Linked DNA regions of Tamandua tetradactyla. The protein of the gene in region 4 interacts with the protein of the main gene of each other region in a pairwise test. Links are inferred from orthologs where the notes say so. Each region holds a gene or a part of one and is shown on either strand. Other genes may lie near its edges. The genes, in order: TFIP11, MRPL53, CCHCR1 and SSX2IP.

Region 1 (7,966 bases), on a different chromosome or scaffold from region 4:
GGGGGATGTTAGCACATTATTGTGAATATAATGAACAGTACTGACTTGTGTGTGAATGTGGCAGAAAGGGGAAATTTAGAGTCATGTACATCACCAGAAGGAAAGCTAGAGGTTAAAACATAGGTCTGCATAACATGGAGGTTAAAATGTTGTGGACAATGTGATAAACAGTACAAATATAAAAAAGCTGTTTCATGAACTAGAGCAAATATATGAGACTATTGCAAGGAGTTAATAATAAAGAGGTATATGGGGAAAATGCACCTATTTGCAAAGTATGAACTACAGTTAATACTGATCCTGACACTCTTTCCCAATCCCCTTTGTGAAAAAGATATAGCCTCTGTGGAATGGAGCCCACAGGCTACAGATGTGAGCAAGGGCAAGACAAACTCAAATCTGCTCCACATTCTGGTCAAGTGAACTGCACCAGCTCACACCTGGGCCTCCACTGGGGAAAGGACCTGCCATGTGAATCCTCCATCTCGCTGTCCCCATCCTAGCCGCAGCCTTCTCACAGAGCTTCCTCTTCCCCTGCAGCTCCAGGCCCACCCTGCACACTAACAAAAGGGTCTTCTCAAAGCACAATCAGCCCTACATCACATCCCCTCAACTGCAGCCTCCAGGTCCCAGGTGACCTGACTTCCTGAGCTCCTCAAACTATGTTCTTCCTCCATCCCTCTACTCCAGGCCCCTCAACCTTTCTTCTTTTCCTGTGGATAAGCTGTTCTTTCCATCAGGGGCCTTTATATACCCTTGCCTCTCCTTCCACCCTAACTTTTTATTTTCATATCCACTCAAGGATCTCTTCTCCAGAGGAACCTTCCCTGATCCCCCAGAATAGGTCAAACACCCCCAAAATGTGCTTTTCTTGACAACCTGAATCACAGTACAAACTTCCATTTCTTTGTGTGGCATTAATCAATGCCTGTCTCTGTTCACTAGGCGCCAAGCTCCAGGCAGAAACTCCTTCTACAGCCCAAGCCCTGACACACAGTAACTGCTCTGGATAAACAATGACTGAATGATCACATCTGTGAAAGAATAGCACCTTTCCTGAAGAGGAAATTACACTTCCATAGCTGATGTCATAGCTAATGGATCTGTAAGGCCAGGAGAGATGTATACTTCCCTACTTCCTCCATCCTGTCCCCTTTCTCTAAAGCAAGGTGAAGTCAGTCCCATGTAAGCCAGTACCGTTTGCCTCCAAAGCTGGGCCTCTCCTCATCTGAGTCACGTTCTGCCCAAATCCCGTAGGTGGCCTCTTCCTTAGTCTGCCAGTGGCGGGGTCGGTTGGGGTTGAACTCATTCTGGAGATCCCAGTCGGTGATCTCAAAGTTCTCCCGCTCATCCTCGTCGTCATCTATGTGGCCTTCCCCATCCCGGTACAAATGGGACAGCGACATGGCCAGCCACTACAAGAATGGACAAAAAGTGCAGTCTGTGAAAAGTGCTGGGAGCAGCAGCAGAAAGCTTCCTTGTGAGTCCCTGTTTCTTGGTGCCTTCAGAACTTTTTCCAGACCCAAAGTCTGTTAAGATTATTGTTACTATTCAATTAAGCAGACATTTAAAACAGATCCATCTATGTGATTCTTAAAAAGTATGTATTTCTGTCCTAGTCAATGCCATAAAACATCATATGCACAGACATACACAAATCATACAAAAATAACTAAGTGTGTTATTCTGTATATTATTGCCTCAGAAACTGGGTAAATGACTTCCTGGACCCCAAATTTTATTATTATGTTTTCTATTTTTGAGGAAAAAGGTTATATCTGGATGCCTGGCCCACTCCCAGGCAGAATGGTTTTTTTGGAATATGCTTTTTAAAATAAATTTCCTGAAGACACTCAAAAGATCCTTAGAGCGGAAACTCTAAGTTTTCCTCTCAAAACATGGCCTCTTCTCCTGAAGTAGAAGACAACAGTTAACTATGAACACTACAATAACTGTGTGAACCAGAATAGAGAATTCACCTCTTGGTAGCCAGGTGATAAGATTTTGCTAGCTCTTAAATTAGGACTAAATGCTGTATCAACCTTTGAGAAAGCTTGTAAGGCAGATTCAGTGACATGGTGCTTTAAAAGCACTTAACTCACAGTAAGTGCTAAAGAACAACAGCTGCTACTATAGTGCCATGATTAGGTTCACCATTGCTACTGAGTCAATCCATCAAAATGATTATGAGTCACGGCCTAGGTTCAAATCCCAACACAGGTACTCAGTTTGTGAGTATTCGTGAATTTGATGGTGCCACTACAATGTCACACACTCAACAAGTGACAGTAATTGTGATTCTGGTCTACCAGTTACTGCACGCAGCCTTCACGTACAGGTAGGCACTAGAGTGTCAAATTCTACTCAGCTGTGAGAAAACTCCTGCTTCGTCTGCTCACCGCTCTGGGTAAAGCGTGTACAGGCGGCAAATATTTTCAAAGGTGGGGAGTCCCAGCTACATCGGAGTAAATTATACCGCTGGCACCCTGGGCAAATGACATGGTTACAATCTCAGAGTAGTTACGAGTTATAGGGCCATTGTAGGTGCTAAGTACTTGCTGGGTGCTGCGAGACGGTTTTCCAATCTAGGTATCGAAACACTTTTACGGGCAGGAACTATAACGTTTCCATGCTTCAGATGGAAAAATGAAGCTCCAAGGAAAAACTCCTCGCCTGTAGGAAAAACCTAAGGCTCGGGCCTTTCTCAACCCCGCTGTCCAGGCATCACGAAAGACACACGCCTTCCTGACTGGGTGCTGGCCCCCACTCCCTGGTGACCCCGAGCGGCCCCGCCCCTCCCCGGGCTCCGGCAGCGCGGTTTGCGAAGGGGAATCCGACACAGGCGAGGCCGAGGCTGAAGCCAGCCGTCTCCGAGACTGCATCCCCACTCCCGCTGCTACGAGACCCCTAGCGCCCTCACCTCTCGGATGGGTTCCCAGGACCACACGCAGCTTCCCACTCGGCGCCCTAAACACGCCACTTCCGCTCTCCAGAACCCGGACGTGAATAGAGCCGCGCACCGGAAATGACGTCCCTTGACATCGACAAAGTGGCGCGGTGTGCGGTAGCAACAACACAACGCTAGAGCGGCTTTCTTTTTCGAACAGCGGCGTTAAGATGCTAGAAGGTACATGGAGGTTGTAGCGCCCCGAGTGGCCAGGGAGTGCCTTTCCGGTTTTGTAATGCGTTATCTGGCCTGGGTTGACCCGTCGGGACGTCCCAGAACGACTTTGGCCAGAGACCAGCCTCAGACTGTAAATCTGGAGGGGACGCGACGGACATTCATATGGGGATAATGAAAGCCGTGTTTGCGTCTCCTGTATATTTGGGTCTCTCGGTGTAAGCATCGTCACGGGCGCAGAGAAGCTGCCTTATAAAAGGGGTTTGGGGGAATGAATGGGCAAACTCTTAGGAGTTCCCAAGTATTTTTTCTGGAAATTTTTCCATCCTTGATTTCATACAGGTTGATGAATTCATTCATTTACTCATCTAATTAAAAATGTACTGACTACCAACCTTGTGCGAGGCTCAAGAACGAATCTGGCACCTGCCTGGAATCCCTGGCTCCTCTGAGACTCTCTGTTGCCATTAGGAGCACACAGGCTCTGAAGTTCTGATCTCAGGCCTGCGAGTTACCAGCTGTAGAGTTTGGGCATTTCTCTAAACTTCATTTTTCTCCGCAAAATGGTTGAGGATTCAATGAAATCAAACAGTGTCAGTGTAGTAGTTAGGTTCAGGTGTCAGCTTACCCAGATAACGGTGCCCACTTGTTCTGTGGCTGGGCACTTAAGTCATCAACATGTGAACTTTATAAATAGCTGATTACATCTGTGATGGGCTAAAGGGAGTGCCTTCCGCAATAAATGAGGCTTAAAAGGAGAAGTTAGATGCAAGAGAACAGCTCAACAGCTCAGCTTAGCACTCAGGGCTCAGATCCAGACATTTGGAGATGCAGAAAAGAGAAAGCGGTTTGAACCCAGAACTCTGGGGAAAGCAGTTTGAACCCAGAAGCGGGGAGAAAAGCCCAAAGGATGTAGCCATGTGCCCTCTCATGTGTGCTCCTTTGAAAATAGTATGTACCCCAGAAAAGCCACCTTAAACCCTGATTCAGTCTTGTGAGGGCAGCCGTTTCTTTTAATCTTGATTTAATGCTATAGGTTGGAATCTTTTGATTAGATTATCTCCATGGAGATGTGACACGCCCAATTGTGGATGTGACCTTGGATTAGATGGAGCTATGACTCCACCCACTCCAGGTGGGTCCTGATTAGTTTACTGGAATCCTTTAAAAGAGGAAACATTTTGGAGAGAGTCAGAAACAACAGAAGCCTCAGAACTGACGGAAACCTCACAGCAGAGCTGACACAGAGACACATGGAAAACATAGATATGGATGTTTGGAGATACTTGGAGCCCAGCAGCCATCGCCATGAGAGGTTAAGCAAGCCAGAACCTGGAGAGAGCCAAGGTTCTCTCCCCATCGCCATGAGATAAAAGCCAGCCCTGGAGAAGCAAAGTGAGGAATCCCCACAGGAACAGGGGCTGAGAACAGCAGAGCCCAGGAGCAAGGGACCAGCAAATCATCCATATGACTTCCCAGCTGATAGAGGTGTTCCAGACCCACTAGCCTTTCTTGAGTGAAGGTAACCTCTTGTTGGTGCCTTAATTTGGACACCTTCACTTCCTGAGAATTGTAAACTTGTAACTTAGTAAATTCCCCTTGATAAAATCGGGTCCATTTCTGGTATATCACATTCTGGCAGCTTGGAAACTAGAACACTGTGTAACAGAGAAACCCTGGTGAAAGCTAAAAGCTAGCTGCCTTTCCTGCAAGGAACTGTAAATTTGTAACTAAATAAATCCCTTTTATAAAAGCCATCTATTTCTGGTGTACTGCATTCCAGCAGCCTTAGCAAACTAAAACAGTTTGCCATTAAGACTCTACCTGGCACATAGTCCAGTCTTAGGAAATGTTAGCTGTCAATGTTTATTATGTTCTCTCTTCTCCGTGTAATGAAAAGATCCAAAAGGAAATTATTGGACTGTACAAAAAGCACAGGACGTAGTCAAAAGACTTGAGTTCTGTGGTAGATTGAATCATGTCCCCCACAAAAGACATTTCAAGTCCTAACCCCAATCCTGTTAGTGTGAACCGATTTATAAATAGGACCTTTGAAGATGTGGCTAATCGGAATGAGAGTAGGCCTTAATCCAAGATAACTGAAATCCTTATAAGCAAAAGAAATTCTATAAAAAAGTAGAAACCAGAGACAGAATACAAGTCGACATGTGACAGAAGATCCCTGAAAAGCCATCACCAAAACACTACAGGCTCTGGAGAAGGCACGGCCTTGCTGACACTGTGATGTTAGACTTCTAGCCTCCAAAACTGAGACAATGAAATCCTGTTGTTTAACCAACCCATTTTGTGGTTTAACCTAGCAACCAGGCAAATTCCAACCACAGGTCTACCCTTACATTGTTGTTATGAATAAAATGCGAACCTATATAAAGCCATTTAAACACAGACTTCTTAGGGGTGGGGACTGACTTTAATGTTCTGTATCCCCAGTGGCACTGTGTCGCTATGCCTGACACATAGTACAAACTCAGGGAGGAAACTAAGAGTGACTTTTTCAAAGGAATGAGACTAGCGGACTAAAAGGTCCACCGGAAAGAGCAGGGTCCAAACAAGAAGACAAGACCCATTAAGAGTCTAGGTCTGAACATAAAAATATAAGTAAGTTTTAACTTCTCTGTAGCTATTTCTGTGGCTTGATGGCAGACAATTGTGGAGTTGCAGTCACTTTTGATCATGGGGACCTAACTTTAGTGGGTTTGCTTCACCAAGGAGACCCCACCATGTAACTTCTGAGGATTGCACTTTTGTGGACTCTTGTAGGGTTGTTAAGAGTGCAGGCTCTGGTCAACTGAGTGGAGTGCGTCAGCAGTAATGGAAAACTTGAAATCATATATTATTTGGTAGAATGCCCTGAGAAGATCACGGCATTACTTTTGTGATTTTCCTGCCAAGTCGCAAAATCTGAATGTAATGACAAGGATCTAGAATACAAGCTCAGATTGGAAATTCTGCAAAACTGGCCTGTAATCTTCAAAAGTGCCAAGATCGTGAACTTTAAAGAAAGGCTGTGGAGTTGTTTTAGACCGAAGAAAACTTTATAGACAACTAAATACAATGCATGATTCTGAATTGGATCTTTTTGCTATAAAGGATATTATTGAGATGTGACAAATGTGAATGAGGGATGAATATTCTGTGGCAATGATGAGGCAATGTTAATTTCCTGATTATGATGATTGTTCTGTGGGTATATCAGAGAACGCCCTTGTTTGTTGGAAATACTAAGGTATTGGAGGGTGATAGAGCAAAACATTGGCAACTTAATCTCCAATGATTCGGGGAAAGATGTTTCTCCACTATATTTACAACTTTTTTGTAATTTTTTTGGAAAAAAAAAAAAAGGCTCTGGGGTAAAACTTAATGAATCCAAATCTCCATTTTGTGGCTTCCTACATGGGGTGCCTGGGGCAGGTTGCTTCACCCCACTACACCTCTATTTTCCCATCTGTAAAACAGGGATAATGTCCAGGCTGCTGTAAAGGGTTTTTTTTTTTTTCCCATGATAAAATAAAATGGGCTATACACTAGTAATGAACAAGCTGAGGGGGAAATCAAGAAACGAATCCCATTTACAATTGCAACTAAAAGAATAAAATACCTAGGAATAAATTTAACTAAAGAGACAAAAAACCTATATAAAGAAAACTACAAAAAACTGTTAAAAGAAATCACAGAAGACCTAAATAGATGGAAGGGCATACCGTGTTCATGGATTGGAAGACTAAATATAGTTAAGATGTCAATCCTACCTAAGTTGATTTACAGATTCAATGCAATACCAATCAAAATCCCAACAACTTATTTTTCAGAAATAGAAAAACCAATAAGCAAATTTATCTGGAAGGGCAGGGTGCCCTGAATTGCTAAAAACATCTTGAGGAAAAAAAACGAAGCTGGAGGTCTCACGCTGCCTGACTTTAAGGCATATTATGAAGCCACAGTGGTCAAAACAGCATGGTATTGGCATAAAGATAGATATATCAACCAATGGAATCGAATAGAGTGCTCAGATATAGACCCTCTCATCTTTGGACTTTTGATCTTTGATAAGGCAGTCAAGCCAACTCACCTGGGACAGAACAGTCTCTTCAATAAACAGTAGGCCTAGAGAACTGGATATCCATATGCAAAAGAATGAAAGAAGACCCATATCTCACACCCTATACAAAAGTTAACTGAAAATGGATCAAAGATCTAAACATTAGGTCTAAGACCATAAAACAGTTAGAGGAGAATGTAGGGAGATATCTTATGAAACTTACAATTGGAGGCAGTTTTATGGACCTTAAACCTAAAGCAAGAGCACTGAAGAAGGAAATAAATAAATGGGAGCTCCTCAAAATTAAACACTTTTGTGCATCAAAGAACTTCATCAAGAAAGTGGAAAGACAGGATCCAAGATGGCGTCTTAGTAAGGTACATGCGTCTTAGTTCCTCCGACTCCAAATCAACTAATAGGTGAACAGAAACAGTACAGAACAGCTCCCGGGGCTACAGCAGGGAATGGACACACAGCGTAACCCAGTCTGGGCTGGTTAGTCTGACTGCGAAAATCGGCTGCGGTGAGTGAGATCCCCGAGCGGCGGGCGATTTCCCGAGCAGCCGCAGCTGCGGCGGTCCGAGCTAATCCCTCCCTCCTTCCCGGGCTGGCTGAGGGACGCGGAGAGACAAGCTTCCCAGCCAAGGCGGCCGGCGCCACACTTTTGCGGGCGGCTTCGAGTCTCAGCTTCGAGTCCGCGACTACGAGTCTCGCATCAGAGGGCTATCCAAAGTCTGGGCTGGCAAGTCTGACTGCGAGACTTGGCTGCGGCGAGACCCCCGAGC
Region 2 (6,481 bases), on a different chromosome or scaffold from region 4:
AACCCCATTTTACAAATGAGGAAACAGGCACTGAGAGATTAAGTTATTTGTTCAAAGTCACACAGTTCCTTAGGGCATTTCAGCCCCAGGGAGTCTGCCTCTTTACTACAAACACTGCCTCCCTGTATTTTTTTTTTTTTAAGTGGGGGGGTGGAGAGAAGAGTCCTTTGAAGATAGCATGCTTTTAGGCAGGGAAGCCATATGGTAATGTTGTGGGAAAATGTATTTGGCAAAGTACACAGCAGCAATGTCTGGAGGTCCTTGATTATCTCGTTGAGCCTTCTGAATTTCTTTTCTAAACCACTGACTTTCATCCATGTTTTCCTACAACTCACAGTAAGAAATAATTTTATATTGCAACCCATACTTGCAGATACACACACACATATATAACATATATTACATAATAAATATAAATAAGAAATATATATTTTATATATATACACACACACACACGGTTATAAGCTTAATACCAAATATCCTAAAGGAATATTTCCAAAACTATATGCCATGCACTCTGATACTTTTTATTCTATTTCACGTTTTTAAGGTTGCTTTAATATCTTAAGTCCATTTCATGATCCACACTAATGGGTGGTAACCCAGTATGAAAAACACTATTTTCATCACTGTTTTCTCAAACAGGTAGAAATGGGAGATGTACTTTGGAAAGACACAATTAAGCAGCAGCAAAAATGATTAAGAGAGCAGGTGGGGAAATGCAACAATGATACAGGATAGTGAATGTAATGGAGAAAAATATCTCAGGAGCTTTATTTAAAACAGAGTATTTTGTACTTACTAGGATATGCAGAGAAAGGGAGAGAGGGGAACCCAAGATAATGCTATGGTTTCAAACCTAGCTGAAGTGCTTGAAAAGGAAAGATAAGTCTGGAGAGAAACAAAAATATGTGTATGTACCAGTATCAACTCTATTTTAGACAAAGAGTGTTGGTGAGGTTTGGGGGAGATTGATAGCAGGTAAACTAAACTATGAACTGTAACACAGAAGTTGGTATTAGAGCCAGAGAGATTAAGCTGGGATAGGACAGTTTAAATTATAAGAGAGAATGAGAGGGCCCAAAGTTATGAGAGAGAGTAGAAGAATATAGAGAAGAAAAAGAAGAATGAGGGCGGTACACTTTAATGTTAGAAAAAAAAGGACTTAAAGTGAAAAAGCTTCCATAGGGGGTGAATTAAAAGTGGCAACTGAGATGTAAAGATGTGGACTCATAAAACAGCACCGAATTTGACTAAAATGAGTAAGAGGTACCTTTGGCGAGTGATAGGAGAAGCCAAATTTAAAGGGTTAAGCAGTGTGGGATGGTAAGAAAGTGAAATAAATTCATGGTCATCCAGACCCCTCTCCGATCTTATCTCGCCCCCAAACACTGGTTGCAGGACTGCTTTTCTTTTTGTGTTCGTGCTGGGTAAGTCCTCCAGATAGGAGTGATTATGTCAAACTCTTCTTAAGTAAATGTCCTACTCCCAAGCTAAAATCTTGTCGGTCTCGTTTGCGCCGTCAGCTCCTGCCGGTACCAACGCCGGGCTTGTCCCCGCTCCCCGCTGCACCCCTGGCCTGGACATGGGAGGTGAAGGCAGTGAGCATTTCCTGGGCGGTGAGATGGGCGCCGCGCATAATCAGGCGGTGCCCGTCTCCTGGGGAAGAAACAAATGAGTTAAGCACAGGGAAGACTATCCGGCTGGTGAGAAAAGCGCGCGAGCTGACTACCGCCTCCCCGCCCGACTCCCCACCGCCGAGCCCACCAAACAGTACGTCCACGCAGGGTTCGGAGCCATCGTGCCTCACGTCCACAATCACCGAGCAGTTGAGGTTGGTGGAGCGGACCTTCTCGCTGCTCACCACCTGGAGGAAGGTCCTGCGGCGGGAGAACGCCGGCGGCAGTAGCGCCGGACCCTGGGGCTCAGACCTCCCGCGAGAGGAAGGTGCTCCCTTTCCTGCCCCCAGCCCTCCCCTTCCCCTCCTACCTCGTCGACTCCACGTTTTTCTCGAAGGGGCAGAACTGAATCCGAACCTGCTTAACAGACCGGAGACCTAGCCGAACCAATGCCGCCACCGCCATGATGACCTCTGTCCCGGAAGGCCTCGGGAGGAAGTGACGTTGCAACCAGCTGCGGACGCCGGGTCTTCGGCGGCGCTAGTTGCTGTTAGAGGTAGCGGTCTTCCGCCACCGTCCACGCCCTGACTCGCTGTCCGGGTTCCTCAACCCGAAAGAAGGAAGTATGGATGGGGAGGGGAGGGGATTGACTGTTTCCGTACAAGCGGGAAGCGCCTAACTTGGTTTGCGAAAATCACACAGCGAGGAACCCAGAGTAAGCGAGGAGTTTCTATTTCTTGACATAGCCCTTTGTACCGCGGTGAGGACAATAAATATTGCAAAACCCCTGTGCACCTGGCTCCGAAATATGTTCGACTTCTGCAGATTTCTCCCTTCCATATCCTGTAGTGCCAGATCTAGGTTTGCACCATCTTAAATCCTGGCCCCTTCCAAAAAGAGGGCACTGATAAAACGCCTACGGGAGGTAAAGCCCATGCAGGTAAATGAAGGTTATACATGTTGAACTCTGGGTAACCACAGCTTAAATCTGAAGGTCCGACAGCCTAATATTTTTAAATGACTGAAAGTAACTGGCAGCCCACGGTAACAGCTTTGGCACTTACACAAGTGCAGAATTGCCTGTACTACGTCTGTGGTTTCTGTTCAGTTAACTTTGGTTTTAGCCTGGCTCCCAGAGTCTAAGAAGAAGTGGCATCTAGGCTTTCTGCTTTCTACTGCTGTTCCCTTTCCCTGTCTCCTGGGCCCAAGTCTCTAGCCCTCCTACAGCTTCTGACCCCGGGAAGTCTTTACTAATGTGGAACCAGGCCTGAGCTCAACAATGCTGACCTCCAGGTTCCCGAGTGTGGTTTTGCACTTTTCTCTGGATTCCTGGTGCTGGAGTCATCTTTCATTCTTAAATTGTAAGTCCAAGCATTGTTTAGCTTGTGGTTCTCAGGTGTACTTTCTTCTAAGTTCCCAATTCTAGGATCCCTAATACGTAATTTTTGTCTGCACGTCACCAGCCAGTGATGAGAATCTGACACCCTGGCTCCTGGTTCCAGGCTCCTTAGTGTTCAGGACTTGTACAGAAGCAGGAAAGGAAAGGCAAGTGCCAACGTGGGTGTTGGTGCTGCCTCAGGGCAAGCCAGGCCTGCTCATTTCCTACCAGGTAAGCCTCAGGGCTAGGTCCTCCTCCCCACAGTGTACTTAACAGCTGAGCTGACTGGGCTGGGGGTGCTCCAGGCCGAAGAGGGGGTTCCAAGCTCTCCAGGCTGTTGAGGCTGTTGCTGGGCAATTCTGTGGTTTGCACCTCATTACAAGAACCTGGTAAGAAGGGAGCAGACGACAGGTGGCTGGGGGGAGAGGGTGAAGCCAGACCCCAGTGTTTAGGAAAGGGGCGGGGTAGGGGTACATAAAAAAGTGAGTGAGCAGTGAAGAGAGCCTGCAGTTGGAAAAGGGAAGTGACTCACAGCAATAAGGGAGCCTCCTGTGGACTCGAGTCTTGGGTAGGGGTTGCTGTAATAAACACAGCAAGGCCCCATCCAGCTGCTGGAAGATGCTGAGCATGAGCAGAGTCTGTCGAAGGTCAGGGGACAGGCCCCACTGCTCCTCTTCCAGCAATTCCTTGACTACTGCAAAGTCCTGTCTGAGCTGCAGTGCCCCCTGCAGGCTGAAGGCCAAAGTACAATGAAGCCACTTGACCCTCCTGCCTCTCCTACCTGCCCTGCTCCACCTATCTCATCCCTTCTCCCAATTCCATTTATCCCCCTGCTGCAGCCTCCTTTTCTCCCACCTGAACCGGATCCTATGGGTGAGGATGTGGTCGAGCCAGGCACCCAGGACAGCTGTCAGTGCCTTTTCGAGGGTGGAAGCCTGGGCTTGAGGTGGCAATCCCTGCAATCCTTGTAACACAGGCTCCAGTACGGTGCGGACCACCACCCCAGCATACTGACTGGGAACGCTGGGCAGTTCTAGAATGAGAGAAGAGAAAAGGCAGGATACGAGGCTAGGGAGAGCCACTCTAAACAGAATGGGGGTAGAGGGTAGGATTTTGGAGGGAGGCAAAGAAGGTGAGGATAAGAATAGAGACAGAGAAGTGGAGCCAGGATTTGGAGGGAGTGGGACACCATTACCCCCTTGAACCCCTGGAAGGAGATGCTGGCATGAGGAGTTACCAGGACAAAGATGAAGCCGCCAGTATCGACCACGTGGCATGTAGCGCTTGAAGCCCTGCGTGGCTTGTTTATGACATTCTTGAAAAAAGAGTCTTAGTGACTCTTCAGGCAGGAGCTATGGAGACAAGGAGGAAATAAAAGGGTCTTATCTATTAGGGGCTTGTCAAGTTATGATGCTTTTCTAAATTTGAGGTGGTTAACCTGGGGTCCGTAAAACCCTAGAGTTGTATGCATAACTGTGTGCACCTGGGCATTTTCTGAGGCAAGGTCCTATAGCTTTCATTGGGTTTTCTAAGAGGTCTGGACCCAGAAAATACTATCAACAGCTGTCCTAGGATTACTCTGCTCCAGGCAGCGTGTATCAGAGGTAGGAAAATCCTTGAGATTAATTTGTAACAGAGGAACCTGAATAGGAAAAAAGTGAGATTCCCCACCACCACCCCCAGAATGTTCTAAAGTACATGCCAGAGAGGTCTGCATGACCTGGAGGTGGACAGAGACTGAGGGAAGAAGGAGTAGTTGTAATGATCTTCCAAAGGGAGGGAGGAACTGCATGTAGGCCAGGAACAATGGACAATGGCTATTTTAACTTTCTGAGATTCAGGAACCTTTGGAATGTACTCACACTGAACATTCTTGACACCCACTTCCATTTTTCTAGAGCAACATAATTCATAAAGCAAGAAAAGAAAAGGCTCATGGGCCAGTTTTGTTTGTTTCTTTGTTTTCTTTGGTTGGTTTTGGTTTGGTTTTTGGATGGGGAAAGGACAGCAACAAAGGGGGTCTTCATTCCACAGCCCAACTTGGAGAAGAACCCCAAGAAATGGGATATGTGGTGGTTGCTTTGTAAAGAGAAGGCTGACTGGATGCCAGAGAGCCTGACGAGAGGAAGGGTTTGGGGGACCCAGACATGGTAAGGGGGAGCCCACGTGGTTCCTGGTACATCTCCTGAAAACAATCTGTCTAGAGTTAAACTACTCTTTGTCACTTCTCCCACAAACACTTCAATGGAGATCCACTGAGCCTTTAAATACAGTGTTTGGGGGAAGAGGTTAGAATTTCAGAGGGGGGACACAGAAGATGGCCTTCTCCTTCCTTATTTACGTCATGGAAATTACCTCTTTTTCAATCAACATGTGTTAGGAATCTCCACACTCAACATTCTGGGGTAGTTCTGGTACAGAGTACGAGATGTTCTCTTCCTCTGGGACCTCACAGTCCAGCAGTGGAGAGAACTCATAATGCTTGATTCTTCCTTGTCACCCATTGCTGCATGCCACAGACAGCCCTGAGCAGGCATTCACTGGTGCAGTCACCAGGCAGAGGAGGAAGGCACAGAGAGAGCTTCATAGTGTTTTTGTTGACATGGTAAGCACGCTGTGGGCCTGTCACTTTGGCTTTGTTCTCCCCACAACCAGTAAGTGCTAGATCCTTATCATATCTGGTCTCTTCACCTCCTGTCCACCCTGCTCACTCCAGCCAGATCAAACTCTGTCACAACCTGCACTGTTCCTCTCCTGCTCTTATAGGAGCTCACCATCACTCATGAGATAAAGCCCAAATTCTTTGAGCTAGTGTTCGGTGCCTTCCACAATTTGAAGCCTACCTCTGTACTCCCACGTACAGAGGGAGCCTCTGCTCTGGTCAGGCCATCTCTTCACTCTCCCCCAAAGCTCTAGGAACTGCCTGCCTTGGTACCTCAGCTCTCCGAAGCTGCCCAGCCACAGGTCCTGTGTGGGGCCTTTTAATTTAATTTTATTTTTTTAAACATAACAACATACAAACATGAACATTCTTATCATATAAGCATACCATTCTTGGTATATTATCAATAACGCACAATATCACATAGCTGTGTATTCATCACCATGATTATTTCTTAGAATATCTGCATCAATTCAGAAAAAGAAATAAAAAGAAAAAAGAAAAAACTCATACATACCATACCCTTTACCCCTCTCTCTCGCTAGTATTTCCATCTGCCCAATATATTTTAGCCTCTGTTTCCCCTATTTTTTTTTTACAAAAAAGAAAATGTTTTATAAAGATACTAGCATCTTAATATTTTACAGAGTATAAAACAACATTCAAGTAACATTAAAGTATAAAGACATTTAAAGTATAAAATTCCCAATTATTTCAGGACAAAGCCCCCATGTGAAGTCAGACATGCTCTTGGGAAGCATTCAGAGCCTGTGGTGGGTGGTGACTGGCCCTCTTTTTGATTTTCAAGGAGACCCGGCTCAG
Region 3 (7,637 bases), on a different chromosome or scaffold from region 4:
GCAATATTTTTCAAAGTACACTTCAGCCAGTAGTTACAGAATAGATCCCAGACTTTGTCATGGGTTGCTACTCCATCACCTCAGATTTTTCCTTCTAGCTGCTCCCAAACACTGGAGGCTAGATGGAATATTAATATAGTGATTCAGCAGTCATACTTCTCTGTTAAATCCTATTTACTCTGTTATACCTCCTCTTTCTTCCATGATCCCTCTCCCAATCCATAAGGATCCCTGGGCAAAGCCCATTCTGACTTTTTTCATGTTGAGAAGTGGTGCAGACACTAAAGGACAGGGGGATATAATTAATTGATAATTGTGGAGTGGTTGGTCACTCTGGGTTTCAAGATTTCTCAGACCTAGGAACCCTCTGGGAATCATAGGTTCCAGGAAAGCAAACTCAGTGCACGAAACCTTTATAGAGTCTTAACATTTCTTAACATCTCTTCTTAAGAAATGTTCATCAGCTGAACATTAGGGTTGCTACTGCCTACCGTATTTGGCTATCTGGATGCTGCTGCTATGACCACTGGTGTACAAATACCTACCTGAGTCCATGTTTTTTCCTTTTGAGTACATACCAAGCAGTGGGACTGCCAAGCCTTATGATAATTTTTAGTTAACTTTTTGATGCACCACCAAACTGTTTTCTACAGTAGCTGAACCATTTTACATTTCCATCAACAAAGTACAAAGGTTCCTGTTTCTCCACATCATTGACAACACTTGCTATTTTTTATTTTTAATAAGCTATTCTAATGGGTGTGAAGTGGTATCTCATTGTGGTTTTGATTTTAATTTCCTTAATGGCTAATGATGAGCATCTTTTCATGTGCCTTTTAAGAGAAATGTCTATTAAAGTCCATTTTTCATTTGGGTTGTCTTTTTGTTGTTGAGTTGCAGGATTTCTTTTTATATTCTGGATCTTAAACCATTATCAGATACATGACTTCCCAATATTTTCTCCCAATCAGTAGGTTGTCTTCACTTTCTTGATAATGTTCTATGATGCACAACAATTTTTAATTTTGATGAAGCCCAATTTACCCATTTGTTTGTTTTGTTGCTCATGATTTTGGGGTGAACTGACCTAAGATTTTAAACTCCTTAATATCAGGATCTCGCCCATTCATCTTTGTTATCTCATCCCTAGTCTCCAGCAACTTCCTTACTATTTATAGTTTGTAGGCACCGAAGAACTGGTTATGTAAAAGTGAATAAATTATATTGATTACATTCACGATGGTATCTTACCATCACCACCATCCATTAGCAAAACTTTATACCACTGAATTGTGTATGTGAAAGTGATTAAAATGGGAAATGTTATGTTGTATATATATATATATTTGGGGGGGGGGGGTGCATGGTCCAGGAATCAAACTCGGCTCTCCCTCATGGAAGGCAAGCATTCTACCACCTAACCACCTGTGCACCCTATTGTATACATTTTTAAAAGAAAAAAAAAACTCAAGTGATAGAAAAAGGAAGAAAAAAATTATGGAACCAACTGCTGACACAGGGTAAGGAATCTATTCTGGTAAAACAGAGTCTTCGGTGAGCAAGCTAAGGAAATGGTGATGCCAGATGCCTACCTGTCTCTCCGTGCTGGCTCCTGCCCATCGCCAGAAGCAGATCGTTCCCACATGTCCGCCTGCAGTCTCTGGTTGTCTAGCCGCCTCTCTGAGACCTCTTGTTGGGCCAGGGATTGCACCAGGGGAATGTCCGAGACCCAGGTAGAAGCCATTCTTGGCACAGAATGAAGGGGCCGAGCTTGGAAGTGGGATGGAGGAATTAGCCTAGTGGAACCTGAGGAATCACAAGGGCACAGGTGGTCAGTTTCCCAAGGAGAGGTCATCACCAGTCCCCTAGTCTGGTCCCACTGACCTGAAGTTCGAAACATCTCTGCACTTTCTGAAGGCTCTAGATTCTGTCTCCAGCCATCCATGATCCCCTGAACAACAGGAAAAACAAGGACATTCCAATTCAGTTTTCACACCCCTTCCAAAGAGAAAGCCCCTATGATAAAGTTATCCTTCCTAAATAATAACTGGTCCACCCGACATTCAGCTTCTCTTCTCCTAGTTTCCAAAAGGAGAAACCCCCAAGATCACCTCTTTGTCCCACCCTGATTCCTGACAGAACCCTGGCAATAACATGAGGTGGGGGGGGGGGGGATTTACTGACACAAGCTGAGGAAAGCTCTTAGGTTCTACTCATATTCCTAGTATTTTGGGCAGTCTTTACCCTCCTCCTTAAGTTTCTAGAGTCCCTGCTGGTCCTGCAGGTCTGAGGTGAGAGAGGGCGCACGGAGTGCAGGCGCTGTGAGCCCAACCTCCAGAGTTCTCTCCATGGCTCAGCCAGGCCTTGAGGAAGCCCATCCAGACACCACCAAGCCATGACTCCTGGGTCCTTCCCTATGAAAGCACTGGCCCAAGGCCTGGCTGCAGACGAGTGCCACCACATGTAGGGCTAGATGCCTCCCCAGGATCCCTGGGAATCCACACAGCCCTAGACCCCTTGACAGAAAGGCCAGCTGTCTGCCATTTCACTGAATCCCTTTCTGCAATTCTCCTTTCAGTTTCTCTCTATTATCCCCTCAGTTTCCATTCCTATTGCCCACTCTCCCCTCTTCGGAGTCTCAGGGTAAGAGTGGGCTCTTCAAGATCTCACCTCCACCATCCCACCCGAATTGATCTATTTTTTTCTAGAGCCTGAGATTCATACCCCACTCCCTCCCTAGTCCTAATCTGTTTTTTTCCTGAAGAAATTATCCTTGTCCGTCACTCTCACCCTCATCTACCGGCTCAAAGATGCCTGCTCTCGTCTCCCTACACTCTCGATTCTCACCCCCGCTCTTCTCCGATACCCCAGTTATCCCCGCGCCTACAGCCGGCTGGATTCCGAGATCTAAGGCTGTTCTGACCACCCTATCTGTTCCTTTACCAGGCCCCTGAACCTTCTTCCCGATGGACCCCTTGTACCCACCCCCACACCCCAGCCAGCCCCTTCCCGCCCACAACCGACCCTTCCCACCCCCAACCGACTACGCCCAAACGCTCCTTACCCTGCGCACGCGCCACTTCCCCACCCCACCCCACCCCACCCCTCAGGCCACCGCCACCTCTCTAGGTTCCCGGGCCAAGGCCGCCTCCTCTTACTGCGCCTGCGCAGAGCGGGCGGGTTGGCGGGAGGCTCAGAAGACTAGTTCACCCCGGAAGGGGGCGGAGAAAAGGAGCACGCAAGCGTAGTAGCGTCTAAAACTGGGGCCAATAAAGGTGTTCTAGCACCTCCGCGCCCTGACGGCTCCTCCCAACTCCGGGAACCCGGGAAACTTAGTGAACTAATCAGAAAACGCGGAAAGCGGGAGCTCGGGCCTCCCTGTGTGCCGCCCAATGGAGTGGAGCAACGCCGAATGGGCTGGCCAATCATGAGCGGCCAGAGGGGCGTGGCCCCTCGGCGCGGCGTTCACCCGGGAACTCCGAGGGCGGGGTCGCGCGCTGCCCGCGCTCGGAGGCCCCGCCCCACCGGCCAGTGCCTCCTCGCTGTCAAACAGCTGCCGGAGCGCCAGAGACCGCTGCACCGGCTGGTAGCTCATGGAGGACAAACCGCTCTGAGATTATACTGAGCGGGCCAGGAGAGAAAAGGTCGGGTTTGAATTGTATGATCTCTGGGAGCTCCTGCAGTTTTTATCCCGCGGAGAAGCCGTAAAGGTGAGCTTTTAGATCCGTTTTGTTAGTTAATTTAGGAACCGGTTTGCACTACCTTTTCAAGGTGACAGTAGATTCACTTACCGCGGGGTTCCAAATTAACTAGTTACAAGTGAGGAATTGGCCAGAAAAGGGAGGCGCAGGCGAGCGGGAGGGGTACTCCTTTTGGATAAACAGGTTTGACAGGAAGACGCTTCTTTCTCCAAGTTACACTGTGATACGCTGGTATTGTTCAGAAGCAGGACCCCCAGTTTGCATTTCCTCAGAAGTTGTCTATTGTATCATTGTCTTGCACAGATCAGAGGCTCCCCGAATATTTTGCGGCCTGAGAATCGGCTCATCTGCGGTGCCATAAGGCGTGTTCCTGGTTTTGCGTTGTACCAGGAACCCCACCCGAATTTTTCAGTTGCACAGTTGCTAGACAGCAAATTTTGCATTGCATACGTCGGCTGCTTACACTGATTTTGCACTACTCAGGGAGTGTGCTTGAAGTTGAAACTGCACAAAGTACAATTTAAGTTCGCATCAGATTGAGAAGTGAACTTGAACCACCGTGCCTGGCCCAGGAGTGGGAAGGGTGATGAATTCCTGAAGTGGAAGCTGTGGTGTGGAGGGGCACCGCCCATGCTGCCCTGCTTCCAGCTGCTGCGCATAGGGGGCGGCCGAGGTGGTGATCTCTACACCTTCCACCCACCCACGGGGGCTGGCTGCACCTATCGCTTGGGCTGCCGGGCAGACCTGTGTGATGTGGCCCTGCGGCCCCAGGAGGAACCCGGCCTCATCTCTGGGGTCCACGCAGAGCTGCATGCTGAGCGCCGGGGCGATGACTGGAGGGTCAGCCTGGAGGACCACAGCAGCCATGGTGAGCAGGACGTCCTTGCTCCTGAGCCCCCCCCCCCCCCAGGTCCAAGCTAAGAGGATTAAGGATCCCCTTGCCACCCTCCCATTGGGCATTTAGGGTCCAGACCTACATATTCCCATCAGAAGTGTGCAGTGTCAAGAGTCCCCTCCAGAGGGTCCTGTTTAGCCCCTACAGGGGGCTGGGAAGTAGATCCAGGGCCTAGGACATCAGTAGAGAAGTGTCACAGTGGGGATGTTCTGGGGCCATTGAGAGCCAAACTCAGTCTTGATCCCATTTCCAGCTTTGCTGAGGCACCTCGTTCCTTCCTGCTTTTCATTGAATTCTATTTTAATGCTTTGGGCCTGTGTATTTTTCCCTAACTCAGTTACAGTCTCAGTCTCAGAAGGGCTTGTCACTGGTTTCTGGCCTGTCGTGTCACCTCTTAGATGTTGGGGCTGTTGTGGGGATTACATAATTACAGTAGCCAATATTTTTCGTACCCACTGTTTACATGCATTGAATGTAGGTGGGCACTGATGACCATTCCTATTTTACAGACGAGAAAAATGAGGCACAAAGAGGTTAAGAAACTTGTCGACGCTGACAAGTGGTAGAGCTGGGGCTTGAACACCATCTGCTGCTGACCTGTGCTGTCCTTTAGTTGAGTTGGGTGAGAGTGAGCCCCTGTCTGAGATTAGGACTCAGCAGAGTCCATTCCCTCCATGTGCCCCAAGAAAAATGAATTTGTTCCCAGCTTACAAGGAGCTTATTATCTGGTGTCATTCGCTGAGGGGTTTAGAATGTGAGGGAGGAAAGAATGACAGGGTTCCATGTTCTTACTAGACCCCAAAAAATCTAACAGATGTTTTCCCACTCCTGATTCTGGATTTTTTTTTCCGGGTTTTGTTTTGCCATTCTCTTCATCTGCCTGGTCCCCACCAACAGGAACCTTGGTCAACAATGTCCGACTCCCAAAGGGTCACAGGCTGGAGTTGAGTGATGGTGACCTCCTGACCTTTGGCCCTGAAGGACCCCCAGGAAACAGTCCCTCCGAGTTCTACTTCATGTTCCAACAAGTCCGAGTGAAACCTCAGGACTTTGCTGCCATCACCATCCCACGATCTAGGGGAGAAGTGGGGACTGGGGGTGGTTTCCGGCCCATGCTGCCCTCCCAGGGGGCTCCGCAGCGGCCCATCAGTACCCTCTCCCCTGCCCCAAAGGCCACGCTGATCCTCAACTCCATCGGCAGCCTCAGCAAGCTCCAGCACCAGCCCCTCACCTTCTCCCGGAGTGGGGGTGGGAGGGAGCCACAGAGCTTGCCCCCTCCCACTCTCTGCGGGGAAGTGGGGGGCTCCCCTTCTGCCCCACCCCCAGCCCCCAGAAACCGGAGGAAATCAGCCCACCGAGTGCTGGCAGAATTGGATGATGAAAGGGGGGCCCCTGAGAGCCCCCCACCAGTCTACATAGAGCCCAGGAAGAAACTACGCGGAGAGAAGGCACCACTGACACCCAATGGGTGAGTGAAGAGTCCTGTCTCTCCTGCCTTTTTGAGTCCCAGGCTGAGGCGTGGGAGAGGTAGACTGGTGGAATAGAACAGCAAAACCTGGGTCAACTCTATTAACGGGGGGGAAAAAAAATCCATAGGAGCAATTGAGGTAGGTGGGATGGGGGAATGGCTATAAAACTAGATTGGGCAAGTGGGCAGGCATTAGGGTCCCACCTTTTACTTTCATACAGCTTTAACCCTATTTTTGAGTGCCTGAGGATGGGGGATTTCTGGGCTCACTCTGTAAGGTTTTCAGGGACTGATTTCTAGCCCCACCCTACATGTTCAGGGGACAGTTTCCAAGTTTACATTACAGAGCTTATCTGGGTCCACCCTACAGGCTTTCCAAGTTTCCGGGTCACCCTGGGTTCACCAGGGGCAAATCCTAGGCTCCCAGGTTTCCAGTGACCCTGGTTTTTGTGTCTTCCCCTTCAACTTCCTTCAGAAATCGTCGTGGGCGTCCTCGGAAGCACCCAGTGACTGTCCCCATGGCTCCCCCTGCAGTTGGGGGCGGGGAGCCCTGTGCAGCCCCCCGCTGCAGCCTGCCCCAAGAAGAGACAGTGGCCTGGGTTCAGTGTGATGGTTGTGATGTGTGGTTCCATGTGGCCTGTGTGGGCTGCAGCATCCAGGCTGCCAGGGAGGCAGACTTCCGGTGCCCGGGGTGCCGTGCTGGCACACAGACCTAAGGCCCATCACCACAGCACCAGAGGACGCAGAGCTGGGAACTCCAGGCCAGGGGTGGACAGTGGGGTGGGAACGAGTCCTTAAAAATGCCCCTTCTTCCCTTCCCTCCCCAGGAGGGAGTGACTCCAGGGAAGAAGGGTCCCTTGCCATGGATCCTGACTCAGGGCCTGCAACAGGTCCTCATGGCCAAGGTGACAGAAGAGAGCTGGTTGCCTGTCAGACTTTGCCTCCAGGAAGTTGTTGCCAGTGAACTGGAAATTCCCATTGCTACAGAATGTAGAGGCTTGTTAGCAGGGACACCAGAACGTCTGGGCACAGAGCATCGATCAATTACAGTGGCCATGCCTGAAAAGACTGTCATAAGATCTGGACAATTCCTTGAAATTGAAAATCCACACAGATGCTGAGAAAACCTGGGCCCCGGCCCCCAAGCTTCCTTACACTGTGGCTGATCCTACCCGATCTTGACCATGACATGTTTTTTGAAAACTTTAGACTTTCTGCTTCAGTTTCCAAATAAAGAACAAGCGGCTTCTTCTTTCACCCCTGGGTATTTATTCTTGGAGTCTCATACTCCTGGATTCCCAATGCTTGGGAATATGTACTCTGGGTAAAGGCCTGAAAACAGATTTAGGAAGTGGCGATCTAAGAATGAGCTGAAAGAGGGAAACAGGAAAAAGGAATAGAGCTAATTAAGGTTTCTACCATTATAGTAAGGTAGTTAGGATCTTCTCAGGTTTCACAAAGGTGGTGGAAACTTTTACAGCATTTACCAGTACCACCAGGCAAGCTAGAGCAGATGATGCCTTGGTCCAGTGAGTATCAACTTTAACCAATGAACCTCATACCAGCCAAAATA
Region 4 (7,645 bases):
GAAGCTCCTCCATACTTACCTCCCATTTGCCATTATATACTGGCCAAAACTAGGTCACAAGCTTAGCCCCTAAACATGTCACTGACAAAGTACCGGAGACAGAATAGCAAGTTTGGTTTAGACCAATGGCTCTCAAAATACGAGTGTCTGTTAAGCCAAAATTATTTTTATATATCTTTGGCCAACTGATTTTTGACATGTTGTCAAGTCCACTCAATTAGGAAAGAATGGTCTCTTCAAAAAATGGTACTGGGAAAACTGGATATCCTTATGCAAGAAAATAAATGTGGACCCTTATCTCACACTATATACAAAAATTAACTCAAGATGATCGAAGACCTAACTATAAGAACCTGATCTATAAATCTCCTAGAAGATAACATAGAGAAGCATCTTCAGGATCTTGTGTTAGGGAATGACTTCTTAGACTTTCCACCAAAAGCACAGGCAACAAAGGAAAAATATAATTGGGACTTCATCAAAATGAAAAACTTTTGTGCATTAAAGGACTTCACCATGAGAGTAAAGAGACAAGCTACAGAATGGGAGAAAATATTTGGAAACCATATATCCAATAAGGGTTTAATATCCAGAATATAAAAAGAAAAAGAACTCAACAATAAAAAGACAAACAACTAAATTTAAAAAATGGCAAAATGCTTTAATAGACATTTCTCCAAAGAAGATATACAAGTAGCCAAAATGCACATGAAAAGATGCTCAGTATCATTAGCCATTACGGAAATGCAAAACAAAACCACAATGAAATACCATTTCATGCCCACTAGAATGGCTAGTGTTTAAAAAAAAATAAAGAAAATAAGTGCTGGAGGGGATGTGGAGAAATAAGACCACTAGCTTATTGCTGTGAGAATCTAAAATGGTGCAGCCACTGTGGAAAACAGTTTGGCAGTTCTTCAGAAAGTTAAGTATAGAATTTACCATATGACACAGCAACCCCATGCTAGATATATACCAAAAGGAAATGAAAGCAGGGACGCAAACAGATTATTTGCACACCAATGTTCATAGCAGCATTATTCACAGCTGCTAAAAGGTGGAAGCAACCCAGATGTCCAACAACAGATGAAGGGGTAAATCAAATATGGTATATACATACAATGAAATATTCTTCAGCCATAAAAAGAAACGAAGTCTGATACATGTAACAATATGGATGAACTCTGAAGACATCATGTTGAGTGAAGTAAATCAGATACAAAAAGACAAATACTTTATGATCTCACTGTAGGAAATAGAATAAACAAATTAATAGAATCAGAAACTGGAATCCAATTTATCAGGGGCAGGGGTGGGGGTAGGGAATTGAGAGTTAATGCTAAATTGGTACAGAGTTGCTGTTTGGGGTACTAGAAAAGCTTTAGTAATTGATAGCGGGGACGATTAAGGAAAAGGTAATTTTATTATAATTCTAAGATCTTATTTACTTTTAAAATTCTCATTCTCTTACAAGTATACAGTGGGGTTTTCTGAAGCTACCTCAAAGACTGCAAGAGATTGAATGCTGAGGTAGATATGACAAACCAGATGCCTTATATTAACCAGATATTAAAAGGTATTTGCAAACTTTCAAACTATACCACTCCTTTTACTAACTTATTGGAAAATATAGTTATTTTTCAATGAAATGTAATATTTATGTTAAGGTCATTATGTATTTTTTTTAAATAAATATTTGTTAATTTCTCAGTTTTAAAATCTAATATAAATATCAATAGCTATAACCCACAATAAAGAAAAGCTCTTTAAACCTTCAATAATTTTAAGAGTGTACAGGGGTCCTGAGATCAACAGTTGGAGAACCACTGGTTTATTCAGACCTGATCCATCCCTGGGTCTGGAGAGAGGACCGGTCTCACCGAGCTCGTGTCAGCCTGCCCTGAAATTTTGTAAAATCTGACTCTGTTAGTCAGTAGGACACTAAGAGGAAATGCTGGATGCTGCTTACTGAATTATCTCAACTCTTCTAGTTAATCAGAGAGTGAAACCTCACCTTTTGACTGAACTGTGAGGAAGGGAATGGTCAAAATGAAGCCTTAAGTTCTATTTCAAAGAGAAGCTTTCACATTAAGTTGCTTCTCGAGGTGGACAGGGGTGTGGATTTTGCGGAGTGGACAATTTAAATTTCAAAACCCATCTTGGGTGCGGGGGATTCCTCTACCCCCACCCCACCATTGCTCTAGATTAGGGAGCAAGGTAATAATTAGTTTCGCCTCCCCAGAAGTCCTGGGCTAAAGGTATCCTTACAGTGATGGGCCTGAGGGACTATTTGGCTATCTTTCAATTATGCTCTGTAGCATCTAGCCTGGCCATCAGATGGCTTAGGTCAAATATGAGGATTTCTCTGGGTCTTTGTAGTGATTAAATGTTGGTCCCCAAATATACGAACCCCCAGAACCTGTGAATATAACCTTATTTGGAAAAAGGGTCTTTGCAATCCAGTTAAAGATCTCCAGATAAGATCATCCTGGAATAGCACTAAGTCCAATGGCAAGTGTTTTTAGAAGAGAGAGGAAGAAGACACACACAATGGAAAGCCATGCAAAGAGTTGGCAGAGGTTGGGAGTGATGGTCTGTGTGCTGGTTTGTTTGATCTATTACGCACCCCAGAAAAGCCATGATTTAATCCTGATCCAGTCTTGTGGGAGCAACTGTTTCTTTTAATCCCTATTCAGTTTTGTAGGTTGGAGTCTTTTGATTAGATTGTCTCTAGGGAGATGTGACACACCTGATTGGAGGGGGTATTAATTCTGATTAGCTGGAGATGTGACTTCACCCATTTGGGGTGGGTCTTGATTAGCTTAATGGAATCCTTTAATAGAGGAAAACATTTTGGAGAGAGCTCAGAGCAGGCAGAGCCTACAGAAAAGACAGAAACGAGAGAAATGACAGAAGTTTCAGAGCCAAGAGAAACTTCACAGCAAAGCTGACACAGATGTGGACATGTGGCGAGCAGAGATACTGATGTTTGGAGATGCTTGGAGGCCAGCAGATGTTGCCATGAAATGTTAAGCAAACCAGAACTTGGTGACAGCCAAGGGAAGCCAAGAGATGAAAGCCAGTACTGGAGAAGTAAAGTGAGGAACCTTCATAGGAGCAGAGGCTGAAAGCAATGGATCCCAGGAGAAAGGGGCCAGCAAATGCCAGACACGTGACTACCCAGATGAAAGAGGTGTTCCTGATCCATCCGCCTTCCTTGAATGAAAGTAAGCTCTTGTGGGTACCTTCATTTGGACACTTTTCCCCTCCTTAGAATTGTAAACTTGGGACCTTTTAAGTGCCCCCTATTAAAAGCCATTCCAATTTGGTATATTGCATTCTGGCAGCTGGCAATCTAACACAGTCTGTGAACCAAGGAACCAAGTATTGTTGGCACCTCCAGAAGGTATAAGGCATGGAATGGATTTTCTTTCAGAGCATCCAGAAGGAATCTATGACACCTTGATTTTGGACTCCTGGCCTTCAGAACTGCAAGGGAATAAATTCCTGTTGTTTACAACCACACTGTTTGTGGTCATTTAAATCAGCTCTTGAAAACTAATATAGTCCCCATGTATTGCTCATTTTCTCACTTTAATCCTTCATCCAGGATTAGGGATACTGGGAGGGGAACTGTTCTTCCCCAGTTGTTCAGTATTAATATTTCTTGTTCTTGTCTCATACAACGCTCTTAGATGCCTCCTTAAAATGCCAAATCTCCCATTTTTCTTCCTTAATAAATCTTTTAGCTTCACTAAAAAATATAAATGACAAAAATCCACTCAATTACATCTTTGTGTTTTTTAACTCAACTCATATGTTTGTGATTTCTTCATCCATTTCTTTCCTTTCTCTGGCCTCTTCCTTTACATGCTTACACTGAACAGGGGAGGGGCGGCTCTAACCCTGGCACCACTGAAGCAAGCGTACATTTTCTCTGCACATATTTTGTTGAGTGGGTGTTGAATATCTTTGCATAAACTTCTAGTTTACGAATACCATTTCTTATAGTCTTCCCTTATCCCGCTGTCTTCTGCTAGGTCCGTTTCTTTGCCCTTATTGTACACGTACTTTTGGGTTTGGGTTTGTTTGCATCCATGATTTCCGACGCTTGATCCTCCCTTCCCTTGGGCCTGACCTAATTCTAGGTACCGGCCGTTGTTTGGTTTATTTCTCCTCTTTTGCGAACGCACGTGGCAATTTGGGGAGCATGCACTTTTTGATCCTTGGATGGGTGCTGGGGTTCATTTGGGCTCCGAAAACATGTTTTACGCAGCCATAACCACTTCCCCCTCAGAGCCCCCGGCCCGGAGGTCCGCGGGCGTGAGGAGGGGGTGGGGAGCAGAGCCGGGCAGGGTGAATCACAGGGCGTAACAGGTGCCGCAGCCGCAGCCACAGCTGCTCCCGCATCCCGCTCCGGCTCTTAGGGATAAGGTTTTCTTTTTCTCCTAGTTTTTTTGGAGGTGGGGAGGAGACTCCGGAGGCCCCACCGGACCAATGCAGGCCGCGGTTGTTCATCGCCTAGCAACTGGCGCAGCCAATGGGAGGCGGCCCGGCCGGCGGCGACGCGGCGGCGCGGGGGCGGGGTGGGAACCTAGCGAACCTGCAGGGGCCGGGAGGCGGAGCAGAGCCCCGCGCGGGGCGGAGCCAGCGGGAGCCCGGGACGGAGGAGGGGCCGTCGGCGCGCGAGGCGCTGCGTCCTGCCGCGGCTGTAAGGGCCCCCGGGGGTGCAGGAGGCTGTCTTGGACGCAGAGCGGTGACTCCTCGCCGCTCCCGGGGGCTGTGACGGTGAGCAGCCTCGCTCCCAGCGGGGATTGTGACGCGCCCGCCCGTCCGCGGAGGGGAGAGCGGCGCAGACGGGGCTGGGTGCGGGCGGGGGGCCGGCACCGGCGCGGGGCGGGCGGGCGAGGAGGTGAGCGCCTGCACCTGGCTCGACGCCCCGCGGCTCTGCGAGAGGCTCTGCGCGACCGTTGGGGCGGTTGGACGGTGCGGGAGAGCGCTGGAGGTGGGAGGTAGGTTCCAGCGCGGGGGCCGCTCCCGCTGGTGGACGCCGCCTTACGTTCTCCGGAGGGCTCGGTCCGGGGTCTGCGGGAGGCGCCCCAAACAGTCTCCGGGTGTTTGGCGTGGAATGACGAGCAACGCGGAGACGTGTGGGAGGAGGGGATGGCAGATTTGGAGCTGCAGTGTGTCCTTCGCCGAGTTTGTAGGGACTGCGGGGTTCGGGGTTCAGGAGTTTGTGAGTCTAAACCACCAGAGGCTGTCGTTAAAATGAGACCTTGGGAGGCCCGTGTCCGCTGCAGGATGAGAAAACCTTCCTAGTGGTCTCGTTAAAAGTCTAGGAGAAAGCACATCATCAGTGATGCAGGCATGTGTGAGAACATTTTGATGTAGAATTTTATCGTACAGTGGACTGAACTGTGAGCACCCTGCACCCTTTTAAACCTATGCTGCTCACCCAGTTATGCAAGTCTCTTTCTTGGGCCCAGGAATCAGAATCCATTAAGTCATGTTTTCTCTCTGCACACGTAATAATGGGAATCCTTAGATGATCTCATTTTACGTAGTTGTGAATGCCAAGGTGTCCTCACTAGCAAGGTTGATGTAGTTCTTTGATCTGAGAGAAGTAGGTTTTCCCTTTTCTGTACTCCATATTCAGTTAAGAATTAGGAGTGGTACCCCTCAGAGGGTGGGTCACGCGTGTGAGGTTGCGGGTTTCCAAGGCTTTAAGTTACTGTGCCCCTCAAACGATTCAGATTGGAGTCTAGGTCTGTGAATGGATGCCTTGGAACCCTTCATGGTGCAGGGGGATTGTCTTACTGTTGAAATGGAAGAAAAAGCCTTATAATTAGAACGTGAACTGGAAAGGGAGGCATGACTTGACACATTTAGGAGACTGAATAAAATTTGCGAAGAATTAGAGAAAAAGGCCTTTAAACTTAGCATAGGTCATACTATCTTGGAATTTAGAATTTGAGATTTATGAATTTGGATTGAGCCAGCAAAACTTAATCCACCAAATCTCCTACAGGCCTAGGAATCTTTGGTTACTCATTCAAACAAAACTAGTAAAAAAGGGTAAGAAATAATTTGACATGTGTTCTGCTGTCAGTGAAATAGTTCTTTGAAAAGAGGATTAGGAACTGCTAGTTAAAGTGAAGCCTCTTTTGGTGACTGGCCTGACATCTTCAGCCAAGTCGTCTTATACTCTTTCTTTCCTTCTCTCTTTCCATCTGTGCAATGAAGATAATAAAGCCCTGGGATTAAGTGACATGGCTGAAACAGCTTGAAGATAGGTGCGAAGACTTAGTTATTCTAGGATGAAATGTGAAGATCTCCTCATAGCACATTGAGCCTTGTGACAAGACTTGTTAAAGCACATTATATTCCCAACATGCTCAAGCAGTATATGAGAAAACTAAAATGTTAATTGTTCAGATGATTTACCAAAGGCTGTGAGGCCAACGCAAAGTCAGAATTATGAAGGTGAGGTTTTCTGAAACCTGACACAGTCTGCTCTTTGGCCAAGTTTTGATACAGGTTTCATAAAAGAAGACTTTGGGTGCCTTTATGTGGTATGTACTTAGGAGTAAAAAGAATGATAAAAGAAAAAGACACTGTCCCAGAATAGAATGATTTTAATTCAGTTTACCTGCCAGAATTGGAGCAATACCAAGTTTTTTTTTGGTTTTTTGCATGGGCAGGCACCAGGAATCGAACCCGGGTCTCCAGCATGGCAGGCAAGAACTCTGCCTGCTGAGCCACCGTGGCCCACCCCCAAGGCTTTTTTAAGTGCTGTTTTTCCATATCTTTTACAATAGATGTGAATATGCCTGTTTTTAGTTTTATTGGTCTGGCCATTTGTTTATGACACAGAGATTTTGATACGATCTTGGTCTGTTTTGTGTTTTCTGTGATTATGATTAGGTAGTAATGAAGGCATTATCTTGAATTTTCATGAGCTTGTAGGATGAGATAGAGAAGTGCCCCATTCATTACTGGTAATGGAGAACAGCCTAAAATCATGACTTTTGACAGTGTCAATATTGTTATTTTATATAACAGCTTTACAGAATTATGCTTTAATAATTTCTTCTTTCAATAAGCAATTATCAAACACTAAGCTGATATTTGCTAGACCTGAAGATAAAGAAATGAATATTGTCTTGAGGAATTTGTTTCTAGGAAATTTGCAGTGCATTGAGAGAAAAAAAAAAGTAATAATTGCATTATGGGAGGTTATAGAAAAGAGAGAATTTCAGCTGTGTTTTGATGGAGGCAGCTGGTGCATTCTGCAGTGTATACAATTATTGAATTATAGGTGGTTTTGTAGAGTTGGAGCAGGGTGGGGTAGGTTAGTGATAATGCTGGTTGAACCAGGGCTTTAAATTTTGACCTGTAGGTGATGGTGAACCTTTGAAAGGTTTTATTCAGAGTATATTTGATTTTTACTTTAGAAGTGTATGCCCATCAAAATCAGTAATTGGAGTGATCCAAAAGCGTTCTGTGCACAGATGACCCTGTAATATAATAACTACAGCCTGTACGCAATTATAGACCTGAAAAATACGTTATGGAAACCTCCAGAAACTTGAGAAAAGCAGAAATTATTCATGTGAAAACCTCAATTATATACCTTCTACTTTTA

The links.
Region 1: the proteins of SSX2IP (region 4) and TFIP11 interact in binary tests that used the Homo sapiens proteins (3 or more experiments, as listed by UniProt). The two-hybrid records come from large-scale screens. The link is inferred for Tamandua tetradactyla from reciprocal best matches to the Homo sapiens genes SSX2IP and TFIP11.
Region 2: the proteins of SSX2IP (region 4) and MRPL53 interact in binary tests that used the Homo sapiens proteins (3 or more experiments, as listed by UniProt). The two-hybrid records come from large-scale screens. The link is inferred for Tamandua tetradactyla from reciprocal best matches to the Homo sapiens genes SSX2IP and MRPL53.
Region 3: the proteins of SSX2IP (region 4) and CCHCR1 interact in binary tests that used the Homo sapiens proteins (3 or more experiments, as listed by UniProt). The link is inferred for Tamandua tetradactyla from reciprocal best matches to the Homo sapiens genes SSX2IP and CCHCR1.

What each region holds. Positions count from the first base shown.
Region 1 is NC_135331.1:36,079,153-36,087,118, forward strand, and holds the start of TFIP11 (tuftelin-interacting protein 11), read right to left. Parts: upstream 3,009-7,966; 5' UTR 2,921-3,008; intron 1,416-2,920; 5' UTR 1,407-1,415; coding exon 1,198-1,406; intron 1-1,197. UniProt on the Homo sapiens protein: Involved in pre-mRNA splicing, specifically in spliceosome disassembly during late-stage splicing events. Intron turnover seems to proceed through reactions in two lariat-intron associated complexes termed Intron Large (IL) and Intron Small (IS).
Region 2 is NC_135343.1:48,371,089-48,377,569, forward strand, and holds MRPL53 (large ribosomal subunit protein mL53), read right to left. Parts: upstream 2,118-6,481; 5' UTR 2,085-2,117; coding exon 1,990-2,084; intron 1,881-1,989; coding exon 1,768-1,880; intron 1,660-1,767; coding exon 1,523-1,659; 3' UTR 514-1,522; downstream 1-513. Other genes in the region: CCDC142 (coiled-coil domain-containing protein 142), read right to left, coding at 3,127-3,383, 3,530-3,729, 3,853-4,030, 4,235-4,349.
Region 3 is NC_135331.1:86,079,101-86,086,737, forward strand, and holds the start of CCHCR1 (coiled-coil alpha-helical rod protein 1), read right to left. Parts: upstream 3,019-7,637; 5' UTR 2,464-3,018; coding exon 2,245-2,463; intron 1,952-2,244; coding exon 1,885-1,951; intron 1,807-1,884; coding exon 1,593-1,806; intron 1-1,592. Other genes in the region: TCF19 (transcription factor 19), read left to right, coding at 4,332-4,569, 5,494-6,064, 6,540-6,780. UniProt on the Homo sapiens protein: May be a regulator of keratinocyte proliferation or differentiation.
Region 4 is NC_135337.1:40,381,319-40,388,963, forward strand, and holds the start of SSX2IP (afadin- and alpha-actinin-binding protein), read left to right. Parts: upstream 1-4,638; 5' UTR 4,639-4,788; intron 4,789-4,882; exon of another isoform or gene 4,883-5,012; intron 5,013-5,600; exon of another isoform or gene 5,601-5,623; intron 5,624-6,125; exon of another isoform or gene 6,126-6,483; intron 6,484-7,645. UniProt on the Homo sapiens protein: Belongs to an adhesion system, which plays a role in the organization of homotypic, interneuronal and heterotypic cell-cell adherens junctions (AJs).